3 linked regions of the Drosophila melanogaster genome follow. The protein of the gene in region 1 interacts with the protein of each later gene in a pairwise test. Each region holds a gene or a part of one and is shown in the gene's direction. Other genes may lie near its edges. The genes, in order: Gas8, spartin and CG12253.

Region 1 (10,284 bases):
GTGTTGGCCGCAAAACATTTTCCGCATTTTCCGGGAAAAGACAGGACAGCAGCTCGCTAAAACAAATGGCAATCAAGTTGAATTGTTACACACACATAAAGGGGCGTTGAAAGGCGGGGGCATGGATGATACGTTGCGAAAAGTAAAAGGAAAATATATACAGCGAAAATATGAGCAACATAAGTGCGGAGTCTGTCAGCCGCTGGCTGAAATTTACTCAACATTTTTGATTTAATAATGAAATGAGTGTCGGCTTGAATATTCCTTTAAGTGTATATGTATTATGCTGAGGGTGTGAGTATGTGTTTGGTGCGCAGCCTGTGAGTGTGAGTGTATGCACTCTTGTATCCCGGTAAATGGCTTCGCTTTTTTTTTTTAATTAATTCATTGATCTCTTCTCACAAGGTTGGTTCTCAGTTTGGTATAAAAATATTTATTTGCCGATAACATTTTCCACTGATCCAGTTGGTTTACTTGCCTATTCAATACGTTTCTTTGTTTGTTGCATCACGTTTTTAGACACACCCCCCCCCCTTTTCTACGTGTTTTGGCTAAAGCCAATAGCCCAGCTTGAACCAAATTTTTGGCTTGCAGCCGTATCTTTTCATCAGTTTGTGATGACTGCCGGGCGGCCGAGCAAGAAATAAAATTAAACAAATACGAGATAACAAGCCACTCCAGCAGCAGAAATTCAATTACAGCTGCTTCAGGTTGCTGGTTGCAACTAGCAAGTTGCATGTTGCTCGTATGTGTGAGCAGCACTCGAAGAACGCAGGACGATGGACTGAGTTCTCAGCAGTACTTCTCAGCGCTCGGTACTCGGGCCTTTAGGACACTTGACACTGGGCCCCTCTGGCCACATGCTCGAATTGATTTAATTGAAATTTTATTCGAGTCCTGCTCGGAGACCCATTGTGCAACAGTTGTCCTGCTGCAGTATCCTTTGTGCATTTGTTGCATTTTAATTAAGAGCTGCTTTGTACTGTCGCTGGAACAATAAAACCAAATCTAGCCACAACGTCTAAGCAACCCCCTGCGCGTATATATATATATATATAGAAATTTAGGTGGTCATACCGTTATGCTCCGAATAATAGTAATGCCCTAAATATATTGGTTCAGTTTTTCTGAAAACGCTATCAGTTCTGTAGAGTATTGAAAATACTTTCTACAGTTTATTTGTAAAGTAAATCGTTTTTTTTTTTTTTTTTGATCAATCATTTTTCAAAATAAATAATAAAAAAAACACCCCGCGCAAAAGAAGAATTTAATTAAAAATGTTTCTTTTAAAAATGCACTAGAAACCCTTTGATTTTGATCACAGCAGCAGATGACCAGTTCTTTTGGTTTATGTATAAAGCAAATGCTAAATTCGTTTTGGAACTTTGTTAATTAGGGCTTACATTTAATGCAAATCATAGTTATTAAAATGGACTCTACAAGAATCGGAGCCATTAAAGGTTGTTCATATGCTAAGCGGGATATATCTCCCTTTATGGTACTGTACTTATATCAAAAAAAAAAATCGAATTACACAATAACATTATGTGCCATTATAAGCAGAACTAAATGCTGAACGAAAATAAATAAGATAAACTAGAGGAAATGTTATAGAATCCTGGAATCTTTCGACTTTTCACATTATGTATATAGTTTTGTTGTGGCTAAAATCCATTTAAATGTGTAACAAATAATTTTTCATTTCGTTGCTCTTAAATAACTATTAGATTTTAAGCCTAAAATTGTATATAAGACATGATAAAGAAAAGTTAAAGCTAAAAAAAAAAAACTGTATATAGTCAACGAGGATAAACTGTAATGTGTATTTAGGATGGATTTAAGAATCAATCAATGACGTTCACACAAAACAAAAAAAAAACTGAAGCTTAATCAAAGTTCTCTTGATAATCTCACTGAAAAATTTGAGAGCCGCTCTATATAAACCAGCAGTAAACGCATAAAGTAAAGTATATCTTATATATAATTAATAAACAAGCATATATATACAAGACAAATTATATATATTATATGGTAAACGAACAAATTCTACAAATAAAGGACAAAAATATATTTATTAAAATTAATCAGAAAGTTTAAATTTCCAGAGTTTGGGTCGCATGTCAAAGTTTGATCCTAGGAGTTGTAAAAGCTGAATTTTGCATACGACGAGGGGCGTTTGAGGGGTTCTCCAGCTAACAACAGACAAGACAAGACCTCCGACCAGCTGCACCAACAACTTTTCCTCATCCTATCTTTATCTATATTTAGTTGTACAAATCCGAATCTCTCACTCAGAGGCAGGATATCCGTTTCTGCGCCGAGCGGAAGTTGTTGTGAAAATAACACAGCAAATAACTTTTGCCACCGCAATGAGCACTGCACTCCCCCCCCCCTCATCCCTTTCTCCATTAACTTTCCACCTACTCTTGGCCCCTCCGAAAAATCCCACGATTTTCAACACACCCAAGTTGCATCAACTGAGTTGGCATTTATTGGACTTCTGCTACGAGAACGAAAACAATATGTAATAAAACATTTAATTTAATGTATAAATTTTTACCCAGAGTAAAGCTCTGACAAAATAAAAGAACTAAAACTTAACAGATTGCATTTTCTTTAAAAGGAAATTACGGAACTCAATTAGAATCAAAAGAAAACGCAAGACGTAAAAACATTAATTTGAAAACAATATATGTTATGCATTGGCTTTGCGGTTTTATTATTTTATATTTGTCGTGTGTGGAAACCAGCAGGTTTGTTCGAAAATAAGGAATAATAATAATTTAATCATTTTCGTAATTGAATTGGTAGAAAATCTCAGTAGGTGTCTGCTGGTTGGTTGTATCGAATTGAATTTTTCACGATGGCTGCCCATATGCTATTCAATCAACAGGGAAGAAGCTCTAAGGAGCGTATCATTACTTCGCAGCAGAACTGAGATCTTGAGGCTTTCCTACGATATACACGAGATTCCTTTATGTTTGATTGGATCGTGCATAGACGATACTCATCTTATTAATTGTTTACCTTTTCTCGCTTCTTAAAGAATTCTCCTTAAAGCGCGCACACACCTCGGTCCTGATAAGCAAATTTTCTAATCATATTTTAAATACTTTCACTTTCAATCAGTGCTTTTTCAGCGGCTACCCATTTTTGCCACCCCTTTAACCCTTGGCAGCCGTTACGGAATTCAATGGGCCATGACCGACCGCAGCCGTTGGCAAGAATAAAATGAAACAAAAATTATGCAGGGCAGATGGAAAAGTGTCTAAAAAGGGTTGAAGGTACACAGGAGGAAAATTGGGTAACTTAACGGCTTAGATTGCAAAAAAAAAAAAACAAAACTTGTTTCCCATTTTATATGTTGGATCATATGTATTTTGTTCCGTGTCGCTTCGCCACTTCAAGTCTTGGCTATAAACATTTTTATAACGTGGAAATAATAGTTTTTCTGTCTGTAAGCCAGCCACAGCGTCTTTGCTATCAAAAATTGACTTTTAATGAAAACAATTGAAAATTCTCGGTGTCTATGTGCCGGGTCCGAAAATGTTTTCCCATGCGAAAGCCACGGGATACTTGTCTCAACTGCCGACGTACTGCTCAACTGGCCAAAACTGGCTGCGGTTATTAATTTCAATTAAAGCATTTAACCGAAGAGCCCACCGACTTTTGTTTACCCAACCTGCCCCGCCCCTAGACAGCATTAATTAAGGCGGGAAAGTGGCGGAGTTTCTGGGGGAAATTCCAGGCCATAGGTGCTGTGCTATTCAACGGACTAATAAAGTTGATTCGACCGAGATTTTCAGGACCATCAAGCAATTCTCAAGCAAAAGGAGAAGCCGAAGATCTGTCAGCTTCCTGATAATATCGTATTTCACGAAATCATCAAATTAGCCAGTAGTCAAGAGCAGAGACTGCAGTGCCAACAGCATTTAAAGTCCGTCCAACAAACGGCAAATAAACAAACAGATGCAGGGAAAATTCTGGGGCCAATGTGCAGGGTGGAAAATTAAGAAAACCGGGGCAGAGAAAATTCAAGAGACCATTTATAGGAAGCAGACAGCAGACGGCGACAAGAGAAAGAGTCTGGTCTGGTCTGGGCTGGCTTTTTGGTTTTCACTGGCTTGGGCAGCAAACTAATGTCGGGCACACGCGTATACCAAAGTAGATGTGGTTTATTTTGTTGAATGTATACCTGCATTTTGTATTTAGAAATATATATAATATGATATTCGAATAATATCACTACGCTTTAGTTAGATGTTTTTCAGCACATGAAAATCTTCCCGCCCCTAGTAACCCAGTTGATAACTGCAAAAGTTTCCCCAAATTTTGAATTTTGCCAGTTCAAAACCATTTGTCCCTGCCGTAGAAATATAATTGAGAGAAGACTGAACCGAAAAAACAACGCTTCAACCTTTAACCTCTTCTTTCGGTTGCCCGGAGACACACACACACACACACACGAATACACGAGACACCCACAACACACACATTGGCAACTGCTTTATCGATAAGTTTGTTTGGTTGTTGGACCGTAGAACGCCAATAGCTCAGTTGGCAGGAAAGACCAAGCCGAAGTGGTTCTTATTCTTAGCAGAGGAATCGAAGCAGAGGAAGAAGCACCGGCAGCAGTATGGTGAGCAATAAGTTGTTAAATCACATTAACAAAGCAGTGCACCCATTCGGCCGCCTTATGGCCGCACTGCTTGGCCAGCAGCAGTTTCCGCCTCTATCCGATTTCCGGTTCCATGCCGCTGCTCCTTTTGGTCTCAGCTTTTCAGATTTTTTTTTTCAGTTGCACTGCAAGCGGCGCATTCAATTTTTCATGCCAAGCCAGGCTGTTGCTGTTGCTGCATATACAAACTGCACTTTGCGAGTGGGCTACAGTGAAGCCTCGGCAAGGCGCTGTCCTGCTACTGCTAGTCAAAATGTCAACGTTGGTATGGCGCATTCATTTCAAAGCAACTTTAGTAGTCGTTCTGTCTATATAAGAACATATGTAGGGAGAACCTAAGTTAGTATAACTATTCCCTTTACAGTGGCTCCACTGTGTATTTATAGCAGTCAAGCAGGAGTCCTCCTCTCCAACTCCTGCTGGTTGTCTATTTTCGATCATTTGTTTATGTATAGACCTGCCCCCAACATATATCCGCCTTTTTTCCATCGGCTACATATATATGTTTATATTTATATTTATATTTATATATATATATATATAAATATATACATTGCGCCTTTGGACATGCGAAAGCGCGGTTGGCGACGGGCGCAGGCGGCTTCGAAAATTTTTGAATAATTTGCAGTCATAAAATATGCAATAAGCCAGCAGCCAACAGCCAACAGCTGTTGCGAAATTGTTTTGAAAGCCGCGCCATCACATTATTTAAAGCAACGATGGCAGTTGCCCGCTTTCTCCGCCTTTCGCTGCCTTTCTCCCACGTGAAGGGAATCGAATTAAACGTTGTTAAAGGATTTAAAGTGCGAAAAATAGTGGCGAACTGCAGACGACAATTGCACAGTCAGTACCCCATTTCCATTCTCCTGCGAGTAGAACTCTTTCAATTTGCATAGACAAATGTGGAAATTCTTTGCTGCAAGTTCAGCCGAGACTTCAAGTTGAGTTTCCTGCTCGGCTCGGATTCTTTAAATGAATTAAATAAGATTTTCTCTTGTAACGTGCGTTCTCTTTTGAGATTAAAACTAAATCAAAATAATAATTTCATTTGAACTTATTTTCTTACAGCCGCCTAAAGGGAAAAAGGGCAAAAAAGGCAAAAAATTGCCAGGTAAGTAAAAAGCTCGAGTAAACTGCACTTTAGCATAGATTTATGAATTCCCAAATTTAACTACTTTGAACGGTAATTGAAGTGAAGGATATCAGTTAATTGTTGCAAAATTCATTTAGTGCCCTCTTTAAGAACACCGGCTGTTAAAGACCCTCAACGAGTAGACAAACTGAACAAGGACGAGGACTGCCTGGCAATTCATTTTCGGAACATTAATGGCAGCAGGGTGCCACCACTGGGTAGTTGGGTAGTTGGATATCTGGGCAGCCGGAATGGCGGACATTGGTCATTCAGGGCAATTTATAAAGGCCAAGCAAAACAATTAGTAAATAACGATAATCTGCGTGAGGAGAGAAGCAAAAGAGAAGGCAGGACGCGGGCGCAACGATAGGGACGATAGGAGCGTTGAGGACAAGAAATTCCCGATGCAATTGCTCTGACTGCAGCCTTGCAGTCAGAAAATTTAAAGGCAAAAAATGGGGAGGGGGGGTTCCAAACTGACCACTTAATTTGCACGAGTGAGCACACTGTAGGTTCCACAAATACCCAACCATCCTCCGCTCTCTGGGATCTCTCTAACGCACATAATTGTTTCTGTGCGTGCACTGAAAAACGCTCTTACTCGTGGAACGCAAGGAAACTCCTAGTGTATCGTATTATTATAGTTATATCATCGATTTGTTTATGCCACACACTTATCTTAACACATGTCTCTAAATAGTTTACACGCGCTCCTTCACTTTGACTTCAAATTGTCTTTGCAATGCAATGTCTTTGGTCTTTTTTCCACCGTGTGGCATCTAGTTCGTCTCCTGGTAGTCCTGTTGGTCCTGTTGGTCCTAGTAGCCCTTCCTAGGCCGAGTCCTGGCACCAGCCGGCCAACGATGCCAATTACAGAAAACAATTACAACACGGTCTGCTGTTGGGTCACATATGCGGGCAGCGGCTAAGGGAAGGGGGGGGGGGGGCGTGGCAGGGGTAAAAATGGACGAAAAAGGGGCAAAAGGGGGGGGGAGGAGAGGGTAACCAGGCGTGCCGCTCTCATTAAATAGCCATAAGGACGGGAGCCCCCAATATGCGGACTAAACTTTTCACGGACCCCTAGCCCAATATTAGAAAATAACCAAGACAAAAAAATTCCTGTTCACACATGAACACGAATATATTTAAAGACTTACAATTTTGGGCTCCGTTCATATCTTATGTAAATGAATCGAGAGCGATAAATTATATTTAGGATTTTGTTATCTAAGGCGACATGGGTGCATTGCTCAAAAACATGTAATTTAAGTGCACACTACATGAGTCAGTCACTTGAGATCGTTCCCCGCCTCCTAAAATAGTCCCTTAGTGGGAGACCACAGATAAGGTCCTCGCCGCTCAAGATAGGCAGATGTGCCCGAGCGTGGGACCTCGATAAGGCGGGGACTATTTACGTAGGCCTCTGCGTAGGCCATTTACTTTAAGATGCGATTCTCATGTCACCTATTTAAACCGAAGATATTTCCAAATAAAATCAGTTTCTTACAAAAACTCAACGAGTAAAGTCTTCTTATTTGGGATTTTACATTTGGTCAATCGAGCCTTTAATCGACTCTGCAGTTTCCCCCTACCAAAGGTAAGGAACTCAGAGAAAGGCCAGCTCCTTTAAGCATCTTACAGCTAAAGGTAGCAAAAATAAGTGACTCTTGTTTCCCCCTACCAAAGGTAAGGAACAGAGTATAAATATAAAAAGCAAAAGATACAAAAGAATCTTTTATGTTTTAAAACAAGCACCTTATAGTCTATAGCTAAAGGTTGCTTTGTGTACCATTATAAATTGTGGTAAGGCGTGCTTGAGGCCATACATCAGCAATTGTGAAATTAAAAAGTGCATAACAAAAGTGCCTTATAAATGCTCTAATAGCATTAAATCAGCTCATAAATAGAGTGCAGTGTATATGCCATAAGAGCATAAATTAAATAAAAAGTGCCTGAAAACAGTGCCTTATAAATGCTCTAATAGCATTAAATCAGCTCATAAATAGAGTGCAGTGTATATGCCAAAAGAGCATAAATGCCGAAATAAATGGCTAAAAAACAAAAAATCTGACTGGACTACAAAAATAATAAAACGTGCCAAAAAAAAAAAAAAAAAAAAAAAAAATCATCTTTAAACATCGACGGAGCCTTAAAGAAGAGAAGGAAGTCAAATTCAAAGGAGCCTCTACCAGCAGCAGAAGCAGCAACAACAGCAGCAGCAGAAGCAGCAACAGCAGTAGCAACAGCAGCAACAACAGCAGCAACAGCAGCAGCAACAACAACGACATCAGCTAAGTCAAAACAAGAATTTTCTGTTTATCCAAACACACATATATATATAAATACATATAAAATACATATACACGTACTATATATATTAAGAAATTACAAAAAATTTTCAAAATGATGTCAGAAAAGACTATTCAATTCCTTAAGAAGCAGTCCGAAATTATTTTGGAAATTAGAAAGTTGGAAGTAAAACCAACATTAACAGATGTAGAAATTCTAAAATTAAATGAGCTTCAAAAATGTTTCATTGCTAATCATAGCAATTTGTTAAAGATCGGCGTTGTCGATCATGAATATTTTAACGCGAAGCAGTATGATTTAATAATGATGGTGTTAGAAAAAATTAAAAATAAAAATGAAAAAATTAAGGGCGAGTCGGTAGAAAACACTTTCCCTAAATCAAACACTGTCCCTAAATCAAACCCTCCCCCTACATTAAACCTTGAAATGCGTGGTCACCCTGAAAAAGAGGGTATAGCACAAAACAACGCTTTAAAAGTAGAGCAGGCATTTCGTAATAATGTTGGCCAATTTCGAGTATATCTAGAAGATACGTCTAAACTAATAGACAGTAGTCCAGATTTCCTTAAAATAAGGAAAAATAAAATTGAATTTTTATGGCATAAAATAGATAACCTGATTGAACAGGTGAATAGTCATTTTGAGAGTTCGCTATTCGAAGAAGAAATTAGCGAACTTGAATTTGACAAACAAAATATTCTTACAGCCATTAATAGTCGACTCAGTGGCACAATAAATAAAGCTGAAATGTCGACGGTTGTTAAGGCGAAGGAGTTACCAACCCTGCCTAAAATACAGATTCCCACCTTCTTTGGTGATTCCAAAGAATGGGATCTTTTTAATGAACTCTTTACAGAGCTCATACATGTGAGAGAGGATCTCAGTCCTTCTCTCAAATTTAATTATCTAAAGTCAGCATTAAAAGGAGAAGCCAGAAATGTGGTTACTCATTTACTGCTCGGCTCTGGAGAAAATTATGAAGCCACTTGGGAGTTTTTGACCAAGCGATATGAGAATAAAAGAAACATATTCTCAGATCATATGAATAGGCTTATGGATATGCCAAATTTAAATTTAGAATCCAATAAGCAAATAAAGACATTTATTGACACGATTAACGAGTCAATTTATATTATAAAATTAAAGGCACAATTACCAGAAGATGTGGATGCAATTTTCGCTCACATAATTCTTCGGAAATTCAATAAAGAATCACTCAATTTATATGAAAGCCATGTTAAAAAGACAAAAGAAATACAGGCACTTTCTGATGTCATGGACTTTTTAGAGCAAAGGCTCAATTCTATATCATCATTCTCACAGGAAGTAAAACCTGTAAAGAAAATGATTAATAATAACAAGAATAAAAATTATAGTGACAATTGTGCATATTGCAAACTACCAGGGCATTATTTAATTCAATGCCATAAATTTAAAATAATGAATCCAGCAGAACGGTCTGACTGGGTAAGAAAAAATGGGATTTGCCTAAGATGTCTGAGGCATCCGTTTGGTAAAAAATGTATAAGCGAGCAGCTTTGTTCGACTTGTCGTAAACCTCACCACACGTTACTTCACTTTGCAGGTCATAATCCAGAAAAAGTGAATACGTGTAGAACAACAGGTCAAGCCTTGTTGGCCACGGCCTTGATTCAAGTAAAGTCGAGGTATGGAGGCTTTGAACAATTAAGAGCATTGATTGATAGTGGCTCTCAAAGCACAATTATTTCAGAAGAGTCTGCACAGATTCTAAAATTGAAAAAATTTCGGTCTCATACTGAAATAAGTGGAGTATCTTCCACAGGAACGTGCATCTCCAAGCACAAAGCGGTTATTTCGATAAGAAATTCTCCGAAAAATTTAGAAATTGAAGCAATTATTCTCCCAAAACTTATGAAGGCACTTCCAGTCAACACGATTAATGTTGATCAGAAAAAATGGAAGAACTTTAAATTAGCCGACCCCGATTTTAATAAACCGGGTCGCATTGATTTAATCATTGGAGCAGACGTATATACTCACATTCTGCAAAATGGAGTTATAAAAATAGACGGTCTCCTTGGGCAAAAAACTGATTTCGGGTGGATAGTTTCTGGATGTAAAAAATCCAAAGGAAAAGAAACCATTGTAGCCACAACAATAGAAATAAAAGAGTTAGATCGCT
Region 2 (10,948 bases), on another chromosome or scaffold:
CGAAATTTCAGACGAATCTGATTCATCGTACAAAACGTGTTTTCGCCCTCCGCTTTGCCCCGACATTCGCATGTGTGCGAGGGAGAGCCGACGGACAGACGGTGCGAAGCAAGCAAACAAAGCAAAATGGAAGCGAATTGTGCAATTTGCATGGCCGCCACATGATTTTCCATTAGAATTCGTAGTAGGCAATTCGGTTTACCGATTGCCGCCGCAAACGGAAACAAAGAGCAGGTGCGAAATCCATGACACACGGTTCCAGAAATGCAATCTGTCGGTTGATAAGCCACTCGGATTCCGAAGTCTCGCTCCGGCGCCACATGGCACCGCCACGCCCACGCCACACCAGCCAGAAAACCCCACCCACTCTGTTGACCTTGGGCAGATGGCAAGCATGGTACCGCTTCCACCCAAAGTTCCACCTGGATTGCTAAAAATACCTATTCAGAATTGTGACTTTGCTTTTCACTTGAGAGATGGAAATAATCGAGATCCGTTTTAAATTGTTTCAGAGCCCAATGTTGTCAAGGTGGAATTGTATTTACATATATAAATAATATTTATATATTTTAAAATTACATCGAATGGATATGTACAAAAACCATTTTTAATTCCAGGAAGCATACAACAATCTTTCAAGAGAGCTGAAGGTGACGCATCTCCTGGGCAACATCCAAAATGGCCAGCAGTCGGAGGAGGCTCGACAGATGGCCGCCGTGTTGCTGCGCCGCCTGTTTACCACCGAGTTCTTTGATTTCTACAAAGGGGTAGGCATAAAGCCGCGCAGAGAATCGCCCTCTGAGCATCTTTCTAATATTACCTCATTTGCAGCTTCCAGCTGAATCCCAGAACCAATTGCTTCAGCAGATCCTTTTGGCCGTGCAGCAGGAGGTGACGCCGCAGCTGCGTCGCAAGATTTGCGAGGTAGTTGCCGAGGTGGCCAGGAATCTGATCGACGAGGACTGCAACAACCAGTGGCCCGACATCTTGCAGTTTCTCTTTCAATGCGCTAACTCGCCTACGCCGCAGCTGCAGGAATCGGCACTGCGGATCTTCTCTAGTGTGCCTTCCATATTTGGAAACCAGGAAGCTCAGTACATTGATCTGATCAAGCAGATGCTTGCCAAGAGCATGGACGCTGGATCCGATCCGGAGGTCCGAGTACAGGCCGTGCGAGCCGTCGGAGCCTTCATCCTCTACCACGACAAGGAGAACGAGACGGCCATCCACAAGCACTTCGCTGATATGCTGCCCCGCATGATCCACATCACTGGCGAGACCATCGAGGCCCAGGATGATCAGAGTCTGCTAAAGCTCCTGATTGAGATGACCGAGAATTGCCCGAAGTTCCTGCGTCCCCAGCTGGAGTTCATTTTTGAGGTCTGCATGAAGGTTTTCAGCTCGCAGGACTTTGAGGACAGCTGGCGTCACCTAGTGTTGGAAGTTATGGTGTCGCTCGCCGAGAACGCCCCGTCGATGATACGCAAGCGAGCGGACAAGTATATCGTGGCCCTGATCCCGCTGATTCTCCATATGATGACGGATTTGGATGATGACGAGAACTGGTCCACCGCCGACGTGGTCGATGATGACGATCACAGCGACAACAACGTGATCGCCGAGTCCTCGCTGGATCGCCTCGCCTGTGGATTGGGAGGAAAGATTGTGCTTCCGCTCGTAATGAACGCTCTGCCGGTTATGTTGGGTCATGCCGATTGGAAACATCGCTTCGCAGCCCTCATGGCCATCTCGGCCATCGGTGAGGGTTGTCACAAGCAGATGGAAGCCATCCTAGATGAGGTAATGTCCGGAGTCCTGAACTTCCTGAGCGATCCTCATCCTCGCGTTCGATACGCCGCTTGCAACGCCATTGGCCAAATGTCCACCGACTTTGCACAGACCTTCGAGAAGAAGTTCCACAGCCAGGTGAGTCTTAAATTGCAACTGCTTTATCAACTTTCTAATAAGCAATTGAAATTAATTAAATGCTTAACAATTTTCCCTTGTTTCGCCAGGTGATTCCCGGCCTCTTGTCTCTTTTGGATGACGTGGAAAATCCGCGAGTGCAAGCACACGCAGGTGCCGCTCTGGTGAACTTCAGCGAGGACTGCCCGAAAAATATATTGACACGCTACCTGGACGGGATCATGGCCAAGCTGGAGACTATTCTGAACTCGAAGTTCAAGGAGCTGGTGGAGAAGGGAAACAAGCTGGTACTGGAGCAGGTAGTGACGACAATTGCATCGGTTGCAGACACCTGCGAATCGGAATTTGTGGCCTACTACGATCGCCTAATGCCATGCCTTAAGTTCATCATCCAGAACGCCAACTCGGATGATCTCCGCATGCTTCGCGGCAAGACCATTGAATGCGTGAGCTTGATAGGATTGGCGGTGGGGCGGGAGAAGTTTATTGGTGATGCCGGAGAAGTCATGGATATGCTGCTGGTCAATCACACCGAGGGGGGGGAACTAGCTGATGATGATCCGCAGACCTCCTATCTCATCACTGCCTGGGCACGTATGTGCAAAATCCTTGGCAAGCAATTTGAGCAATATCTGCCCCTCGTTATGGGACCAGTGATGCGAACGGCCACCATGAAGCCTGAGGTGGCGATGCTGGACAACGACGAGGTGGAGGACATCGACGGTGATGTGGACTGGTCTTTCATTAATCTTGGCGAGCAGCAGAACTTCGCCATTCGCACGGCTGGCATGGACGACAAGGCTTCGGCCTGTGAGATGCTGGTTTGTTATGCTAGGGAACTAAAGGAAGGATTTGCCGAATACGCTGAGGACGTGGTGCGTCAAATGCTGCCCATGCTTAAGTTCTACTTCCACGACGGTGTCCGCACAGCTGCTGCTGAGTCGCTGCCTTACCTTCTCGACTGCGCAAAAATTAAGGGTCCACAGTATCTGGAGGGCATGTGGATGTTCATTTGTCCGGAGCTGCTCAAGGTAATCGTCACGGAACCGGAGCCAGACGTGCAGTCGGAGCTGCTGAATTCGCTGGCAAAATGCATTGAGACATTGGGTCCGAATTGCCTTAACGAGGATGCCATGAAACAAGTTCTCGAGATTATAAACAAGTATGTTCTGGAGCATTTCGAGCGTGCTGACAAGCGTTTGGCGGCTCGCAATGAGGAAGACTACGACGACGGTGTGGAGGAGGAGCTGGCCGAGCAGGACGACACAGATGTTTACATCCTTTCCAAAATCGTGGACATTACACACGCCCTTTTCCAGACCAACAAGGCTCAGTTCTTACCCGCCTTTGAACAGGTGGCTCCGCACTTTGTCAAGCTACTGGAGCCCAGCCGACCTGTAGCTGATCGGCAGTGGGGCTTATGCGTGTTCGATGATCTGATCGGTGAGTTGGTTTTCTTAATTGAGTTTTGCAGTTCAATAGTACCGCCGATACCTTCAAACATCAAATCATTTGTGCCACCATAAAACTAAAGACTTGTATTCTCATTTACCTACAGAATTTTGTGGCCCCGCTTGTGCTCCATACCAGCAGATCTTTACGCCAGCCCTCGTCCAGTACGTGTGCGATAAGGCCCCAGAAGTGCGCCAGGCGGCTGCCTACGGATGCGGGGTGCTCGGCCAATTCGCTGGTGAGCAGTTTGCGCATACATGCGCCCAGATCATTCCACTGCTGGTGCAGGTCATCAACGATCCCAAAGCCCGCGAAATCGAGAACATCAGTCCGACAGAGAATGCGATCTCGGCGTTTGCTAAGATCCTCAAGTACAACAACTCGGCGCTGAGCAACGTGGACGAGCTGATCGGTGTTTGGTTCTCATGGCTGCCGGTGTCCGAGGATTCGGAAGAAGCCGCCCACATCTATGGCTACCTATGCGACTTGATTGAAGGCAACCATCCGGTCATTCTTGGGGCAAACAACGGCAATCTGCCGCGCATTGTCTCCATCATCGCTGAATCCTTCTGCACCAAGGTGGTTGAGGCGCAGTCCGCCACCGGCACTCGTATGCTCACTATCGTCAAACAAGTGGAATCGAATCCGGAGGTAATGGCTGCTTGTGCCAGCACCTTGAGCCCGGAACAGCAGCAGGCGCTGCAGGATGCCTACCGGGAGCTGGCAAACGTGGCTCCCGCCTAAGATATCGCAATCCCAATCCTCTTCAGACCAAGTCCATTCATGTCGACCAAGCCAAGAAAGGAACGATGGATGCTTCAGCTACTCGTTATCATTATTTTTCATCTTACCGAAATTTTGAAGTATATGTTTAACACATAGATATCCATTTATACAGATATACATTTATGTGTACAATAGAGTTATCCGGGTATATAATTCTATACATATTGTGATTTTAATCAAAACTCTTCTCCCGAAGACAAAAGTCTGCCTCGTTAGAATTTGATATGTTGTATGGATGCGATCCAAATGCCATCCCAATCACACCCAAATTCCAATAGAATATTTTCGTTACTCAAATTTTCATATGTTTAATACATATGTGTGTATATACGGCCCTAACGGCCGCCTCTCCCTGCGGGGAAAACAGGATGTAAACGTTGTCCGAATCGAACGAAATATAATTTTGTGCATTCAAACCAGGATCGACAAATATATTTAAAGGAATAACATTTATTGTATTTTAAACATGATAAAAACGAAATAAATAACAAGTAAATCGATATTTTAATTGCCACGAGCTTATGTTTTAGTATTGCTTTTTATTATTAACCATTCATTCAATTTCAAATTCGATTCCCGCAAAAGACTTTTCAAAAGTCGTTGTGGCAACTCTGTCTGTGGCAGTGAACATGCAGAGGCCTCCTAAACAGCTGATCTGATTCGCAATGGAAAGTAAGCAAATCAAAACAAAGATGGAAAAACTTGGAACATTCAACTCGAATGGAAAACACACATTTTAACATGTTATTTACGAATTTAAGTGATATTAGGCAAACGATATTCTCACTTTAAAGGTGTGCGACTAAACAGGAGCAGAAAATAATTCGTAAAATTAGTGAGAAAATAGCGAAAGAGAGCGTTTCTCTGTTTGCTTTCTAAATCATTAGGTGACTTGGTGGGCAAAGTGCAGATTAAACGCTCAGAATCAGACGAAACCAAAACCCAAAGGTGAGTGAGTGCAACAGGTAGACGGTGAGTGCAGCGGAAGGGCGGATGCGGTTTCGTTGGCCACAGTTCAATTTAGAGCAGCTGCAGGAGAAGATGTAAAAGCGCGTCATTCCCACTTTGGTGACGCATTTTGGTCACCCTTTTAGTTGGTCGCGGTTGCCCGCCTCGTCGGGATGTATCTCTGCCAGCAAGTTCGTTTACAATATCTTAAATCTCACGAATATTAACAAAATATGTAGTAATTTGCACTATAAGACTTACACAGAACTTTGCGAAAGGGGGATTCATAAGAATAAAGACAGCACATAGAACATGTATACTAACTAAACCATAAATAACCATAGTCATTGACTTTAATAGATTCTTAGTTCTACATACTAAAGTTTTGAGGGCTTTGGTTTTTTGTATAGTATCTAATGTTTCTGTGCTGTTTCTTAGGTATTAAAGGCCGCGATGGCGGAGGAGGAAAGCGAATTCCTGGAGGCCTATGCTGGCATCAGAACAGCCTACAAAGCGGCCATGACTCAGGTGGACCTGGCCGTAAGTCACGAGGAGCAGGAATCCCCCGGCCAGGCCATTGTGGCCTATGAGCTGGCCCTGCGTATGATAGAGGACACCTTCGGCATTCCAGTAGGTCTTCCCAACAAGATCGACACCGTGCAGGCGGAGTGGAACGACGCCTGTGCGCTGATCCAAAAGCTCAAGAGCGCCGAAACGGAATTGAGATACCGCCTCAAAGTTCTGCGATCCCAGAAACAATCCATTGATGATTCAGCCGTGGAGGCCACGGAGGAAAGTCGAGCAGAGATGGATACAAAAAGGCCGCCGTTGCTGGCGGAAAACCCCTCCACGCAATATGGCATAGCCAATGCTAGCGGAGCACCAAAAACCTACAGAGAGCTCGCTGCCGGCTTGCGGGAGCTCTTGGCTGTTCGGGACGCCAAAGTCTTGCTCGATGAGCTCTTCCGTGCACAGGTCAAAATGTACCGAATCGAAGCCAGTGGATCAGTAACCACCATAAGCGGCTCGTCAACTATGTCATTGGTAATGTGCACCGTGGGTGGCAAATGGAAGTACCTCAGTGGCATCTACTTCATTCAGTGCTCCATGCCAAATGAGGGGACTGCAGGGATTTGGCTTTACCCCCTGGTTCCCTCGATCACAAACTGCTACCAAACAGAGTACGGAGCCTTTATTTTTCCTGATATGGAGTGCCAGCAGCCGGGCAATGCATTTGGTTTGATGCTAACGAAGGAGGGCCAGACATCGCGCACGGAGGACGAACTGGAGGATCTTCAGCAGTTCTTTCTTGACCTGTTGGAGGCCGTACTCGCTGGCACGGTAGTGCAGCTGAAATCGCCGACCTCCCAACGTGCTGGCCTAGCTTCAGATACCGTTTCCGGGTCGGAGCAGGTGTCCAGACACATTGTAAGTGCGGCTGATTTCATTGCTAGTAACCTGGTACGGGGCGCCGAGAAGACAGGAGGCTTTATGCTTAGGAGTACTCCGTATATCATTTCCAAGATGACGCCAGCCTCGATGGATGCTCAGGTGCCCAGCTCCGTCCAAACTTCAGGTGAGTTAGTTCCAAATAGGGAAGAGCTGTATTTAGGGCGGAAGTATGGTAGCTTCCGAATGAGCATGTAACGATAAAATTAGAAGATAAGATTCGAAGTCGAAGATGTGATCGTCACTACACTTCCACCTCGATCGGAGTTTGTGCTTGTGTTTGATAATCATGTTAATCAATGGTTTGGAAATGTGCAGATTACATATAAGATAGATCTAATGTATCTTATGTTGTAACCTTTTGTTCATTATAGTTGAGGTGGCCCAAAAAGTGACGCACGCCGCAGCCGGAATGACAGGATGGATAGCTGGAAAGGTGGGCACTGCTTCAATGGCAGTCGGCCGCTACCTGGCTCCCCACATTCAGGAGCAAGGCTCTAAACTGCTGCAGAAGGGATTTGGCTACGACACCAGCGAGGCTAATAGCACCATGGAGGGCGCCATGACCATCGCGGCAGGAGCCGTGGAAGGAGTGAGCACCGTATTCGATGGCCTCGAGACTTCCGCCAAGATCCTAGGCTCCAGCCTCAGTGAAAACTCCGTCAAGATAATCGAACACAAGTGGGTTGGCTTTGGCTTCTTAATGCTTATGCAGTTTTGTAACAGATGTCATTACGAATTTTCGTCCGAATTGAAAGTAATCACTTAGGCTGGCAACGGTTTATTCAATTTAAATATATCTGAGATTTAAGTTATGCGCAATGTGCAGAGGATCGCAAAAATGATCAAGGATCGGGAAATGTTACTCAAGCTTGCACACAAAGAAAAGTTTTATAACTTGTTGTGAATCGTCTCAAATATGTAATGCTACTAAAGGTCTACTAAGATCTAGATATTCATTTTGGGTTTCTTTCGCCTTCGAAAAAGAAAAACATATAGTGCGGGCATTTTTAATATTTCATATATTTACATATATTTATTTGCTATTTCAGATATGGCCAGCAGACGGGGAATCTGGCTAGTGGCACCTTTGACACGGTGGGCAACGTTTTCGTGGTCAGTCAGAACGTGAACTACATAACCCCGAAGGGCATTGCCAAGAAAATGGTCAAACGAACAGGAGAAGCTGTGGTCAGTGACTACAAGCGAGACTTACGCAAATCGGAATCTCATTATATTAATGCCGGATCTCTTTATCCGGATCTTCGAGCTTTGAAGGAATAGCGGGAAAACCAAAGGAATTTATCACATGTTATTATTATTATTATTATTATTATTATTATTATTATTATTATTATTATTATTATTATTATTATTATTATATTGAAATATTTATATGCCATTTATAGCTTCTAATTAAAAGAAAAAATATAAATAAATATTATGTTCAATAACACATAAAAAAGATATTTCGAAAGATTTTGCATCAAAACCTTATTTTAGTGTTCAAAAATGCTTTACTTTTGTATTTGTAGATAAACCGAAGCTAGAAAGTATTAAAAAGAAAAATGTTTAATTCACTTTGTATATTTGTATAACCTAAATTCTAGCTTCCTAGCACTCCAACCGCTAAGTATCGGGTATCTTTTGTTTTTAAATTAAAATGTCCTGATTTTTGATACACAACTCAGTCCTCTTTCACTAATTTAAAAGAATTAACAATTTTAGCAAGGAATTTAGTATGAACGTACCATGTAAATTGTGAACAAATGTTGATCTAAGTATCTTTAGATTGACGATCAATAAAAAGCCGTCTAATTTAGCGGCTTTAAATCCTCGTAAGTACTGTCATAGCTTCCGATCGCCTGAAGTTACAGACTTTTGAATCTTATATTGTTGAAAAGGTTATGTTATTTGCATTATTTCCTAACCATTTCCTAAGACTCTATATAGCTATCTTATTCCTTATTCTTTTTTCCTATCTTAAAAAGCACTCTGATCAAGCAAAAACTTTGCGGAACGAGTCAAATTTTATATAAACAAGTTAGGAATTTATATAACGAGCGATGAACCCCACATATATACTTTGGCGAAATATGGTAAAACTTCACGTTTTGTTTTATACACGAGATATAGAATGTGATATTCTATAGGTCCTAAGTGTCATATATCAAGGAGCCCATATATTTAGTTAGGGTTCAGCTCCCGAATCAGAACATAACATAACATGAATGACTATAACCCCTATTGTTGGTAAAACTTTCTCCTAGACTATATTTACATTTACCTTATTATAGTCCTTTTATCCTATTAATATTTATATTAGGAGAATATAGGAATATGTATACTCATATTATTGTCAAAATCATATGAATACATTTTTTTATATATATTTATTAAAAAGAATCCGTACATAATTATATTGTATCTTAGCATCACAGGGTGGAGATTTATTCTTAAGAATTACCAGTCGATATATAAAAAAAGTAAAGTAAATGAATACATTTGTTTTCAAACGTTAGCTCTCGTGCGAGTTCCATTCTGAAAATAGGAATGGGTGTTTAAATCCTCACATGATTAGTGAGAGGTTTGGTTTTATCATTTATATGTTAATTGCGCTGTTATGTTGCTATTGCTGCATTGTATGGATTCATCGCTTCTAAATAAATAAATTTAAAAAAAAGGAATGGGTGTAGCATACTTTCGGGACGCGCAATAAAAAATTATCTTGAAATTGGTTTGGTTTTAAACTCCGCCATATATCATTATATAATATTATATATTATTTGATCCCAAAGCTTCATAGATTGATCCATCAGCGTCTCGTTGATTTTTGTATGCAATACTTTACGTACTAATTCAAAAACCGAGAAAGTTGTTAATTATTTTGAAGGCTTTTCGCCGAACAACGTAACAAAAAACGTAAGAGCGTACAGAGAGACCTTGCCTGCGGACAGATAAAAATACCGCTCGTAGTCCGATTCGACCCACCTCAACTGATTCAGCTGGCCACACTCCGCCCCATTTTTATATCCACAAATTCCTACGCTCGGCAGTACGTTTTGAACTCGGCCAAAAGGAGGTGGCTAAGAGTTTAGCGCGGCACGCAAGCACATAATTCCCCGCTCGGACGTGATTTCGCCCCTTGGTACATGAATACATGTGAATGTGTACATATGTGCGCACGGGAAATAAGGCAGGAAAAGCCCAAAGCCACGGAGTTCGGATCCGAGAGTCTTGCGTTTTGTTTTGCGCAGCACTGCACCTGTGCAGTGTAAAATCGTGAATTCAGTCGAGGTGCAACTGCGGCGCTTGTGCGGTTGAGGGAGGAGAGTTGGCAGAAGTGTGTTTGTGTGTGTATGTGGGTGGGTAGTGCCTTTTATTTCCGATTTTGACGGGAGTCCAATCCACCAAGCTGAGTAGTTGCAATTACGGCGCGGCGGAAAACTGTTTTTCTCGCTCACAAATACATATGTACAACCTGTATAAACAACAACGACTGCCGTAAACAGCCAACTGCGAACGCAGCAACAACAACAGTTCTAACAACAGTACACAAGCAAACACGTTTCCCGTTTTATTTTCTGGCCCGCGTTTATTAGTGTGTGTGGGTGCGCCTCTGTGTGCGAGTGCGTATGTGTGCGTGTGTACGTGTTGCTCGCTCGAGTATAGAAATTTCTAATGATTTTTGGCCTGTTCCCGAAAAGCAGCTCCAAACAACAACAACAACAACTTTAGGACTCTGCAGTGGCTGTTCCAATTGACTCGCCATTCTTTTGAATTGTTTTTATATATGTAATTGAACGCCGAAAAACAACTGTGTAAAAAACAGCATCTGTGCCAGCAACGAACAGAGCTTCGAATTTTGTTGGTAAGTGTTTTCAGCTTCTGCACAATGAATAAAGTAAATAATAAGTGAATAAGTGATTTCAAAATCTGCATTTTGAAACCGTAAAAAGTGTAGAAAAGAAAAGTGTAAAAAGGTAGCCAATTGTCTTAGTAACGTGCTTATTTATGCAATTTGTAACTATTGGCTTGAAGTTTACATAAAAAAAGGTCCATTCGAAAAATGAAGACTAATATCTTTCCTATCTTTCCTAACGGATATCAAAAAGTAGGATTGGGTAAAACACATTTCTCTCGGAGATTTTTCTTCATTGAGCGGATCGCTTAGATCCATTCATCTGACGCAACAGTAGCAGCAAAATAACGTTGTGATGACCAGGACTAGGGATATGACCTCAAGCAGCATTCTGGGACCTGGATCATGTTGGTCAGGCGGAACTTGTAGATGGAGGCTCGTGTTCTGGAGTGAGGCTTGTGAGCTTGAGTTGTACATTCTTGCGATCCATCCACCGATCTGCTGGCTTTCGAATTTGATGTTCGA
Region 3 (9,642 bases), on another chromosome or scaffold:
AAACTCCCATACGGACACGAGGATTCTCGATGCTCGGCTCAAACTCCACGTGATAATGAACGATCCGCCATTCCGGCTTGGTTTTTAATCGGAAAAAGTTCGTCTGCAGCATGACCGGGACGCCATCGGTTCCCTTCTTGGATACCAGCTCAGCCGGACGGGTATTCAGGTAATCATATTGGTCACCCCACGGCTTTCGCTCTGTCGGGCCACCTTCACGCCTGGGAGCTTCCTCGAGAGCTCTTCTCTCTCTTGAAGCCTCTATACGAGGATCCGCTCTCGGGTCACCTGATGAAGATCCTCTGAATACTTTCACCCGCTGCATGAAAGCATTAAATGATGTAAGTTACTCATTTAAAAAAAATTATAATATTAGATATAGAGGACGCTGTCTCCTAATAGAAGTGAATGACTGCACACTAGCTCCACCTAGCGGCAGTTATGAATAATTGACGCCGATGGAAAAAATAACATAGAAGAAAGAGAGAGATCGTGCGAGATTCAGCAATAAACACGAGACAGCAATAAACACCAGAAAGACTCAACTTTGTACATTGAAAACAATCGCGATGAACAATCAAAAAGTATTACCTGTTTATTATTTATTATTAAAAGAAAAAATATTAAGGGGTTTAAACAAATAGTTGTGATTCCTAAATGTGAGCCATTTAAACAACTACCTAAAGTACGACAGATTTTAAATCATAAAACTAACGGTCAAGCTACGAAAATATTGTTACTCATAATCAAAGATGAAGCAGAAAAAAAATGGTAAAAAATAGTTTTTGTAGTATGCTTTGCCTGCAATTTCAGAGTATATCAATGCTGAAAGCCATCTCAAAGTTGTATAGAATTGGGATGAATATCGGAGAAATACCCGTTACTCGTAGAGTTTCTAGGAATCAAATGTATGTGACAGATAGAAGGAAGCGTTTCCGACCATGATTTTTGATGAGTATCACTAGCCGGGTCCATTTGGTCATGTCCGTCCATATCAACGTCGGGCATGCAGATTCCAAAGACATAGACTGCAAGGGTAAATAAGATTCGGCTTGCCACAGCCACCTTCCTGTCAGGTGATGGTTATTTTAGCAGTTTTTATTAAAAAAAAATAAATGAAACGAAACAGATAATGCTTTACATTTCCTTGGAAATTCAAATTGAAAGAAGCGTTTTTGGAAATATGTTTAATGAATTCCCTTTGAAAAAAGTGCTTGGTCAACAGAAATTCAAGAAGATTTTATGCAGTCAAGCTCAAATTCATAGCAGATTTTTGTTTGTTAGTTTTAGTGCTTCCTTTTGGTGTCGAATTCCGAAGAAATGCGCGCATTTACAATCTATGTACATGGCTGTGTTTGTGTTTGCGACATAACGGAATTATAAGGAATTTGCTTTACCGCTATGATTTTTTTTCCTAGCTTGAATAAGAGTTTACATACCGGCCCATCACCACTACCTCGGGAAGTAGAGGAATCATCTTCGTTAAGTGGACGCCTGCGTCCACGTCCCTGATCATCAGCCATTGTTACTTTTTGGCACTCGCGATCACTTAAAACTTCACAATGGAAACTGAAAGAGTACTTTGAAAACGACGCTTTGGACTCAGTGTGACCAAATGGCCAGATTTCAAAGATCGTTAAGCTTTTGGAATGTGTAGATATTAGTCTTCACAACTGAAAACAATCGCTTTTGCAAATCTTCGCAATAGGTTCTATTTCCCTAGTATTTATTTTTTGGTACTTCGAGCTTTGATTTCTTTCTGTTCTGTTTTTTTAAAAGTATAGAAATACATAAAAAAAAATTATTTAACTCCAAAAGTACATAACGTGCTTAAAAAAAATAAAAGTATTAATTTACTTACTTACATTTTTTTAATTAACAACATTTAAAAAGATTATTTTTAAAGTGTAAAGTTTCATCATAAAATTTCAATCGTTGCAAGAGCCTTAAATACCGCATGTACGTATGAGGTATTTTCTAATATATACAAAACAGCCACCCTGCTATGCAAGTAAACAAGTGAAAATGGAAGATATACAAAGATTTCAAAGGTCTCTAAAAGACTTTGATTATTTCAAAGACTTTCAATGTTTTCTGAATATCAAACACAATTCTCGAGCGCGGGCAACGCATATAAAGAAAAGGAACCCAAGATTTAATCCATTGACCGATCTAAATGAGCATAAATTTCGACTAAAGTACCGATACACTAAGGAAAACCTTCGCAGAATTATTGAAATTGTACGGGATGACTTGGAAATTGAATATTTTGAGCCGTTAAAGAGGGAGCAAGTTCCAATAGATTTGCAGATTCTATCCGCTATTCGCTTGTGGGGCGGCACAGAGGTACAGTAAACATTTCTGTATGCCAGACTCGCGAATTTGTATGTACATCAAAACCGTGTGAACTGGCTTTCAAAATTGCCCGCCAAAAATGAAAACTAAGATTTGTTACTAAATTTTTTTCTTATTTAAGCACCCCAAATTAACTGCAATGGCCCATGGCGTTAGTTTACGCACTTTGGCAAAAATAACTAGGCGCGTGGCATCTGTCCTATCATCGAAAGCTTCCAGGTATATCCGAATGCCGGCTACTCTATCGGAAAAGGAGCGATCTGGTTCGGCGTTTCAAGCAATTGCCAATATGCCGCAAGTCATTGGTGCTTTACTACAGACAACTGTGAGGTTTCAACCGGAAAACTGTGCCCCTGATCTGGATGGAGAGGAGCTTTTGCCCGCCCTTACCAGCCGGGAGGAGGAACTTCACATTCAGATTGTTTGCGATGCGGCTCATAAGATAAGGGACCTTGATATCCGACTGATCGATGAGCAGTCCATGCTCACCGACACCGAGATGTTCGGTCTGTCCAAAATAAAGGATCGATTCGAACAGAACGAGTTCCGGGGTCGTATTTTGCTGGGCAACGAAATGGTGCGCTGCTCCTCCTCCCTGTTCACACCGGTTCGATTCCCGAGGAACCAATCCGAGGAGCTGTATAACCACGCCCACGCGGTCACCTACGCATCGGCTAGAAAGTGTCTCAATCTGCTGATGAGTCGCTTCGGTATCCTTGCCACCGAAATCCAGGGTTCCCATGGATCTGCAAAGCAAACGATTACGGCGTTGGCCATACTCCACAACATGGCCATGGAGTGGGTCGATCCAAGCATTGGTAAGCTAACTAATGCTATAGATCCTAAAGTGCTCATTGTTTATTGGTTTTCATTTATCTTTTTAGATACGGAACAGAACATTTCACCCTTTAATTCCACTTTCTTCAATTCCATAGGAAGGTCACCAAAATCCGGAGATGACAACAATCGAAGACAATTCATTAAAACCCATTTTGCTTGCTAATAAATAAGAGTTCTTGCAAACAGAACCCATTACGAATACAATTTGTAACTTTCAGTATTAAAATTATTAAAAACAAACCTATGATGTCGATTTTCCTTACGTGTTTTTCCGATTCAAAACCAGGCTAAACGGGTAAAGTGAGCGATTAAAACGGTTTCTTCGGGAAGTCCCCTATCGGCCGAACAGCTGGTGCGTGCGCAATCGGTATCTATCGCGAGGTGGCAGTTTGAGGTGCTCACGCTGCCATCTCCAAACTGTGCACATGGATATTCTGTTCTTCAATAAAACAGTAGTTTAGTTTTTTGTTGTCATAGGCTGTGAAAAGTTTTAGTGAACGTTTAAGAATTTCACGCTTAACTGGAAGCTACCAAATAATCCAATATATTTATTAGACAAAATTGTGCATTTGCTATTAGTTATATTGTAGGTATATTGTGCCTCCGCAATCATTATGATTATAAAGGATGTGTGTTCGATTTGCATTTCAGTTTTTGCCTCCATTTTACATACATTTACACCTGGCGCATTTTTCGTGCTGGCAATGTAATCACACCGAGCTAGCTGACGACAAGTGCCAGTGACCTAGATTTTGGGAGTCCTGCGCTTGGGTAGAGTAACGACACCACCACCGCCACCGCAATCCTGCTCCGTGCCCGTTAATCCTTCCAGCTGCAGCAACAAAGTAAAGGTCACAAATCGCGAGGCAAGTAAGTTTTTGTACATATGACCTGGTTTACGGAGTGGCAGCTACGCTTGGTAGCCCAGGGTGATGGCGGGGTTAATCTATATTGTATATTCACCGCCAGAGTGGCATACTATGCATTCTGGCTTCTCTCTATCTATCCACCAGATATGATTAATCCGCATCCGTAAACTTACGTCCAAATCCGATCAGAAATCATTCACAGCATTTAAAACCTGTTTGTAGGCCTTTTTTTGGGTTAGCGGAGTCAGAGATCACATCGAGCTTAGTACGTACCCCTCAACAGATATATGACTGGGTGACCAGGATCTGACATGCGTAACAACAGCGGCTATCATATCCCAGCTAGCAACAGTCTGAACAACAATGGAGCCCCGGCGTCACGTTACTGCAATGCGGACAATACGTTTTGCTACTATAGCTACGATAACTGCAACCTGATCGCTCCAGCGTGGGGCAATCGCCAGAACCAGAATCAAAATTCAGTGCCCAACCAGAACCATAATCTGCCGACAAAGAGAATTCCCACCAAGCAATCGGCCAGATCAAGCTACCACCAATCGGCGGCCAATTCGGCGCCGGACTCATCACTGTTTACCGATGCATTTGGCCAGCAATCGTTGGTCAACCAGCGGATAGCTGGCAACAAGAGCTGCGAGTACGTCTATCAGACGGTACAGCGATCGGAGGATCAGCATTCCAATAGGCAGTACAAGCAGGCAAGGTCATATGCCGTAGACAAGGAGCAACAGCAGCAGATGTTGTTGCAGCCATCCATCGTATACTTTGATGCGGAGCTAAAGAAACGGAAAGACCGAGGGGGACGTGTGTCCAACGATTATGTGGACAATAGTCCGGACCGATATCGGCCACTCAATTCCCCCTCACCAGAGCCGACCTGGGATAACATACTGTAATTTATGCAAATGCCTTTTTGTTAATTGTCCTGCTTGTTGAAACTACATACCTCCAGTACACGCACACACACACGTATTTTGTTGTTGTTGTGTTCGAGTCTTAAAGTTACAATTTGGAAAACTACAGATAGATACCACACAACACTCTAGTTGCGAGTACATTAACAATATATCCACAGACACTCATTGAACATACATAGATGTGTAAACAATAAACAGTTTCCTTTGTTCCCCATGTTGTAAATAACCGCCTTCCATTCTCGTTTTTCAGCTCGGAACGCCCGGTCCAGTATCAGACGACAAACCAGCACTATCAGCACTATTTTTCGTACTTCTACAACCGTGGAGCGGAGAAACTGTCCAAGCCAACGTTTGCCGCTGCCAATAGCCGCAAAGTGCCAATGAGTAAATTTCAAAAGGCCGGCGCCAGTCGCAGGGATTCGCGAGAAGTCGATGGCACAGTTATCATTGGACGAAGGGACAATTCCGAGGACAGGACCTGGCAGGGTCAAAAGTATGAGAAGCACGTGCTAAAGGAAAAGCTCCCAAGCAATGATTTAAAAGCCGATTACCTAGACAATGGCTGGGGAGGAGACCCTGGAAGCGAAGATGACTACAGGGACATTAAAGATAGCTATGACCCCGTTGTTGTAATTGACAATGGGCTGGAGCAGGTCGGAGTACATCGGCGCTACTGCAGAATGACCGAAAATACGGTCCTGGATGGCTCCGGAGACACGCTTATTAATAACAACAATAATGAATTAAAGATTATGCGTAAGTCGACGGATCAGCCCATGCCACGGTTGCCCATGACGCCAAAGAGGGCCAAAGGTGGGACCGTGTCTACCAAAAAGCCAATGCCCACGGTTCACCGAGTCCTGCTGTACAGCACTCAGAGTCCACGGCTCGGCCGCAAGCAGCAGTTCAGCACCCAGCGGCTAAGTGTAAAGCAGCAGAGCTCCAAGGTACTGGGTGCAGGTGATGAAAGACAGACGGTCTTATTGCTGGAGCCGGAACACAAACAGGAAGATCACCGTAGTGCCATTGACTTCGATCGTAATGACGACTTCGACGAAGATGATGATCTCGACAATTGTAAGAATTGTTAACCTTAGATCTATTTTTTTTAATTAATTGATAATTAACTAATTTGTACTTCATTGTTTAACCAAATAATAGTATCAAATTTCGACGAAAGCGACACGGCGAGTGTTTTGTCAGACACTGAGGACGGTTATCGTGCCCATGCCTTCAAGCTTACCCACTCTGTGGATCGATTTTCATCGCCCCAAAGCACGCCCAGCTTCTTGTCTTCGCAGTCGTCTGAGGATGATCTGAAAAATCCGGATTCCCTTCTGGTTCCCAGTTTGTTTCCCTACGTGCCCCCTTATTTGTCTTTTTCGTCGAACACAAAAAGAGGTCCACGCGTGCCGCCGGATCTTCATCGCGTTTTGAAGTGGCGCATTACAAACATAATGCCAAAGGTAGTTCGTCTGATTCTGGCCAACAGCGGAATGCGAATGCTAAAGAGTGAGTTTCTACATAATAATCAGATATCAATTAATATGTATTTTCGCAAGTAGAAACCAACGACTGGATGGGCGTATGGGGAAAGCATTTAAAGTCACCGTGTTTTAAGGCCATTCGTTCGTATCAGAAAATTAATCACTTGCCCGGTTCATTTCGCATCGGCCGAAAGGATTCGTGCTGGAAGAATCTGCAAAGGCAGATGGGTAAGCACAGCAACAAGGAATTCGGGTTCATGCCACGCACATACATTATTCCCAATGATCTGGGAGCGCTGCGCCGGCACTGGCCGAAATATGCCCAGCGAAATACTAAGTGGATTATAAAGCCACCAGCTAGTGCTCGGGGTGCTGGCATCAGGGTTATCAACCGATGGGGCCAGATACCCAAGAGAAGGCCCCTTATCGTACAAAAGTATGTAGCATCTAAGGATCAAAAGCTTCGGAAACATAATAATTATTCCCGATTTGTTTTACATAGGTATATAGAGCGACCGCTTCTAATAAATGGTAGTAAATTTGATCTGCGTCTGTATGTCTTGGTTACATCAGTGAATCCCTTGCGAGTGTTCATGTACCACAACGGATTGGCACGGTTCGCTTCAGGTAAGTAAATATTTATCTAAAATCGAGTGAGCCGTATATTAACCCAAAGGAAACTATACTATGTATATTCAGTAAAGTACAGCGCTAAAACGGACACTTTGAATGATCGGTGTATGCATTTGACCAACTACAGCATCAATAAGTTTTCCTCGAACTATTCGAAGAACGAAGACGTCAATGCCTGCCACGGACATAAGTGGACTATCAAGTCGCTGTGGACGTATTTGGCGAATCGTGGAGTGCGTACCGACTGTCTGTGGGAGGCTCTGAGGAGTTTGGTGCTTCGGACAATTCTTGCTGGCGAGAATGGCATTAATAGCATGATTAGAGCAAATGTTGAATCAAAGTACAGCTGCTTCGAGCTATTCGGCTTCGATGTTATTCTGGACTCTGATCTTGTGCCTTGGCTGTTGGAAGTTAATATTTCGCCCAGTTTACACTCGGAACTGCCCCTAGATGCTCATGTTAAAGCGCCTTTAGTGCAGGGCGTTCTTAATACAGCGCTGTACAACGTAAGTGCTGGCATTTTACATATGAATTTAGAACGTATAACTATATATATGATGATACATATTTTAAGGTACCTCCAAAACTATCGCTTGATAAGCAAAAAGAACTGGCCGCAGAATTTTCCTTTCCTCCCGGCACACAAATGTGCTATGACAAGCGGCTTTACATTAACTACTTGTCGCGCGAGGAAAAGATCAAACATAACACATTTACCCGAAAGTCTATGGAAGACCGGAATGAGGTGAGGCGCAAATTTGATACTCCAAATGGATAGGTTGCTAATCATACTATAACATTTAATACAACACAGTATGTGGATGCGATCCTAAATAATCTGACCCCCGATGATGTGAGGTGCCTTATCATAGCCGAGGATGAACTAGCGCGATGTGCACCGCTGGAGCGCATCTTTCCAACTGATCAAACCCATAAGTACCTTAAATACAACGACACTCCGCGGTATTACAATCGCCTTTTGGATGCCTGGGAATCCCGCTACGCTAACAATCGCACAGAAGGGATAGCGTTGTTGCGCGATTATTGTCAAAACAAATATCATCTTCAAGTCCCAACTCCTCCAGCCAAAAAGGTGAGATCTTTATTCATCAATAGTGCAGAAGCTTTTCACAAGACCCATTTAAATGAATCGTAAACTATACAAAACAAATATGTAGGTCAGGATATTTTTTTTTTTAAATACTACAAGTATCTTAAGTTATTATCCTATTTTATTTATAATAAACCTAATTTGTGAAAGCAAGTGCATATTGCACTGCATTCTATACATACACTAAGTATTTGCCCACGTTTTAATTATTTTGTACACAAAAATACTGTTCTAAAAATCAGTTAAAATATTCATAAATTCTCGACTACTTTTGTTAAATTTTGAGGGCTGTTGGAGATTTATACAATCGTTCTTTTGGCGGTGCCGCGCTCTTTGCCATAGTAAGTCTTATCTGTTGACCACGCAGAGTCATCGTAAAATAAAATCTCGAATATTAGTAGATAGATGAAAACCAGTAAGCTTGTTATAATATTTGTACTGTCTTTATTTAAAATATATCCAGGACAACAAAGTGTATTTGTCATCTCTACCGGTTAACTACCATAACGTAAAAATCTTTTGTTTTCTTTACCAGTAATGCATAGGTAAATAACGAAGCTTAAATAAAATTACAAGTAGAGGGATGGTCAAATAGTGATGTTCTCTTTTGCCGACAGGCCCCATATGCATATAGTTATAAATCCAGATGTTCTATGTAATTGAAATGTTCCTATAGCAAATAACTTTTAACAGAAACTGCTCACCGAATCCATATGTATTTCATTGCATTGCGTTGCCTTCTTGTTTGTGTTTTTCTGTTCGACGTTACCATCACTATAATTTCTTTTTATGTCTCTGCGTATATGAAGTATGTTGAAGGTGATCACACTGCATATTCCTTACACCTGAGTCCAGAACAAGACTTTCTTCCAGCGTCAGGTGGGTCTTTAAATGGTAATATACCTCAATCGGCTGTCCATAACTAGCTTTTCCAACGCGCCGACCTCAAATCTTTCACAAAAAAAACAAAAAAAATAAAAAAAAATAACATTTTAATAAACATATTTACGCAAATTTTCCAACCCGGACCATCGCAAAGTAAACTGCGCCTGATGATTTATATCCATAGCGAATGTAGTGTGTTTTTGAAAGAAAATTTCCATATAATCATTATATTATAAGGTTTATAATTCCACGGACTTCTTACCTTTTTTTTTCGAACTCATTTGACCAATAGTTAACTCACAAAAATAATGTATAACAATGCTTATACCTTTTGTTAATATTGATTGGTTATGCAAAACATGTTTTTTCTCTCCATGTAGCGAAAAGCGTATAGTTAGAAATTTATCGTTCAACACAAATATGCAGAGAAAAACATTTTAAATATTCTCTTGTTACCACTTTTTGAGTTGCCCAATTTATAAAATATAAAAAAAATATCAAATAGCTTAAGTTTGAAAAATAAAAGT

What was found.
Region 2: the proteins of Gas8 (region 1) and spartin interact in a two-hybrid assay, tested with the Drosophila melanogaster proteins (one large-scale study listed by BioGRID).
Region 3: the proteins of Gas8 (region 1) and CG12253 interact in a two-hybrid assay, tested with the Drosophila melanogaster proteins (one large-scale study listed by BioGRID).

The regions. Positions count from the first base shown.
Region 1 is NC_004354.4:3,498,894-3,509,177, reverse strand, and holds the start of Gas8 (growth arrest specific protein 8), read left to right. Parts: upstream 1-4,326; 5' UTR 4,327-4,636; coding exon 4,637-4,639; intron 4,640-5,746; coding exon 5,747-5,789; intron 5,790-10,284. UniProt on the Drosophila melanogaster protein: Cytoskeletal linker which probably functions in axonemal and non-axonemal dynein regulation. May play a role in the spermatozoa motility.
Region 2 is NT_033777.3:4,649,968-4,660,915, forward strand, and holds spartin (spartin), read left to right. Parts: upstream 1-4,832; 5' UTR 4,833-5,112; intron 5,113-5,191; exon of another isoform or gene 5,192-5,303; intron 5,304-5,550; 5' UTR 5,551-5,565; coding exon 5,566-6,688; intron 6,689-6,935; coding exon 6,936-7,242; intron 7,243-7,613; coding exon 7,614-7,845; 3' UTR 7,846-8,018; downstream 8,019-10,948. Other genes in the region: Karybeta3 (karyopherin beta 3), read left to right, coding at 618-767, 832-1,926, 2,016-3,369, 3,485-4,122. UniProt on the Drosophila melanogaster protein: During postembryonic development, functions with endocytic adapter Eps-15 in neurons to restrain synaptic growth, by inhibiting BMP signaling, and to control synaptic endocytosis. Required presynaptically for neuromuscular junction (NMJ) neurotransmission.
Region 3 is NT_033779.5:10,985,810-10,995,451, forward strand, and holds CG12253 (uncharacterized protein), read left to right. Parts: upstream 1-1,996; 5' UTR 1,997-2,025; coding exon 2,026-2,346; intron 2,347-2,476; coding exon 2,477-3,173; intron 3,174-3,239; coding exon 3,240-3,358; 3' UTR 3,359-3,432; downstream 3,433-9,642. Other genes in the region: piwi (P-element induced wimpy testis), read right to left, coding at 1-319, 1,440-1,523; TTLL4A (tubulin tyrosine ligase-like 4A), read left to right, coding at 4,376-4,974, 5,250-6,076, 6,161-6,511, 6,565-6,922, 6,989-7,113, 7,186-7,625, 7,694-7,864, 7,934-8,212.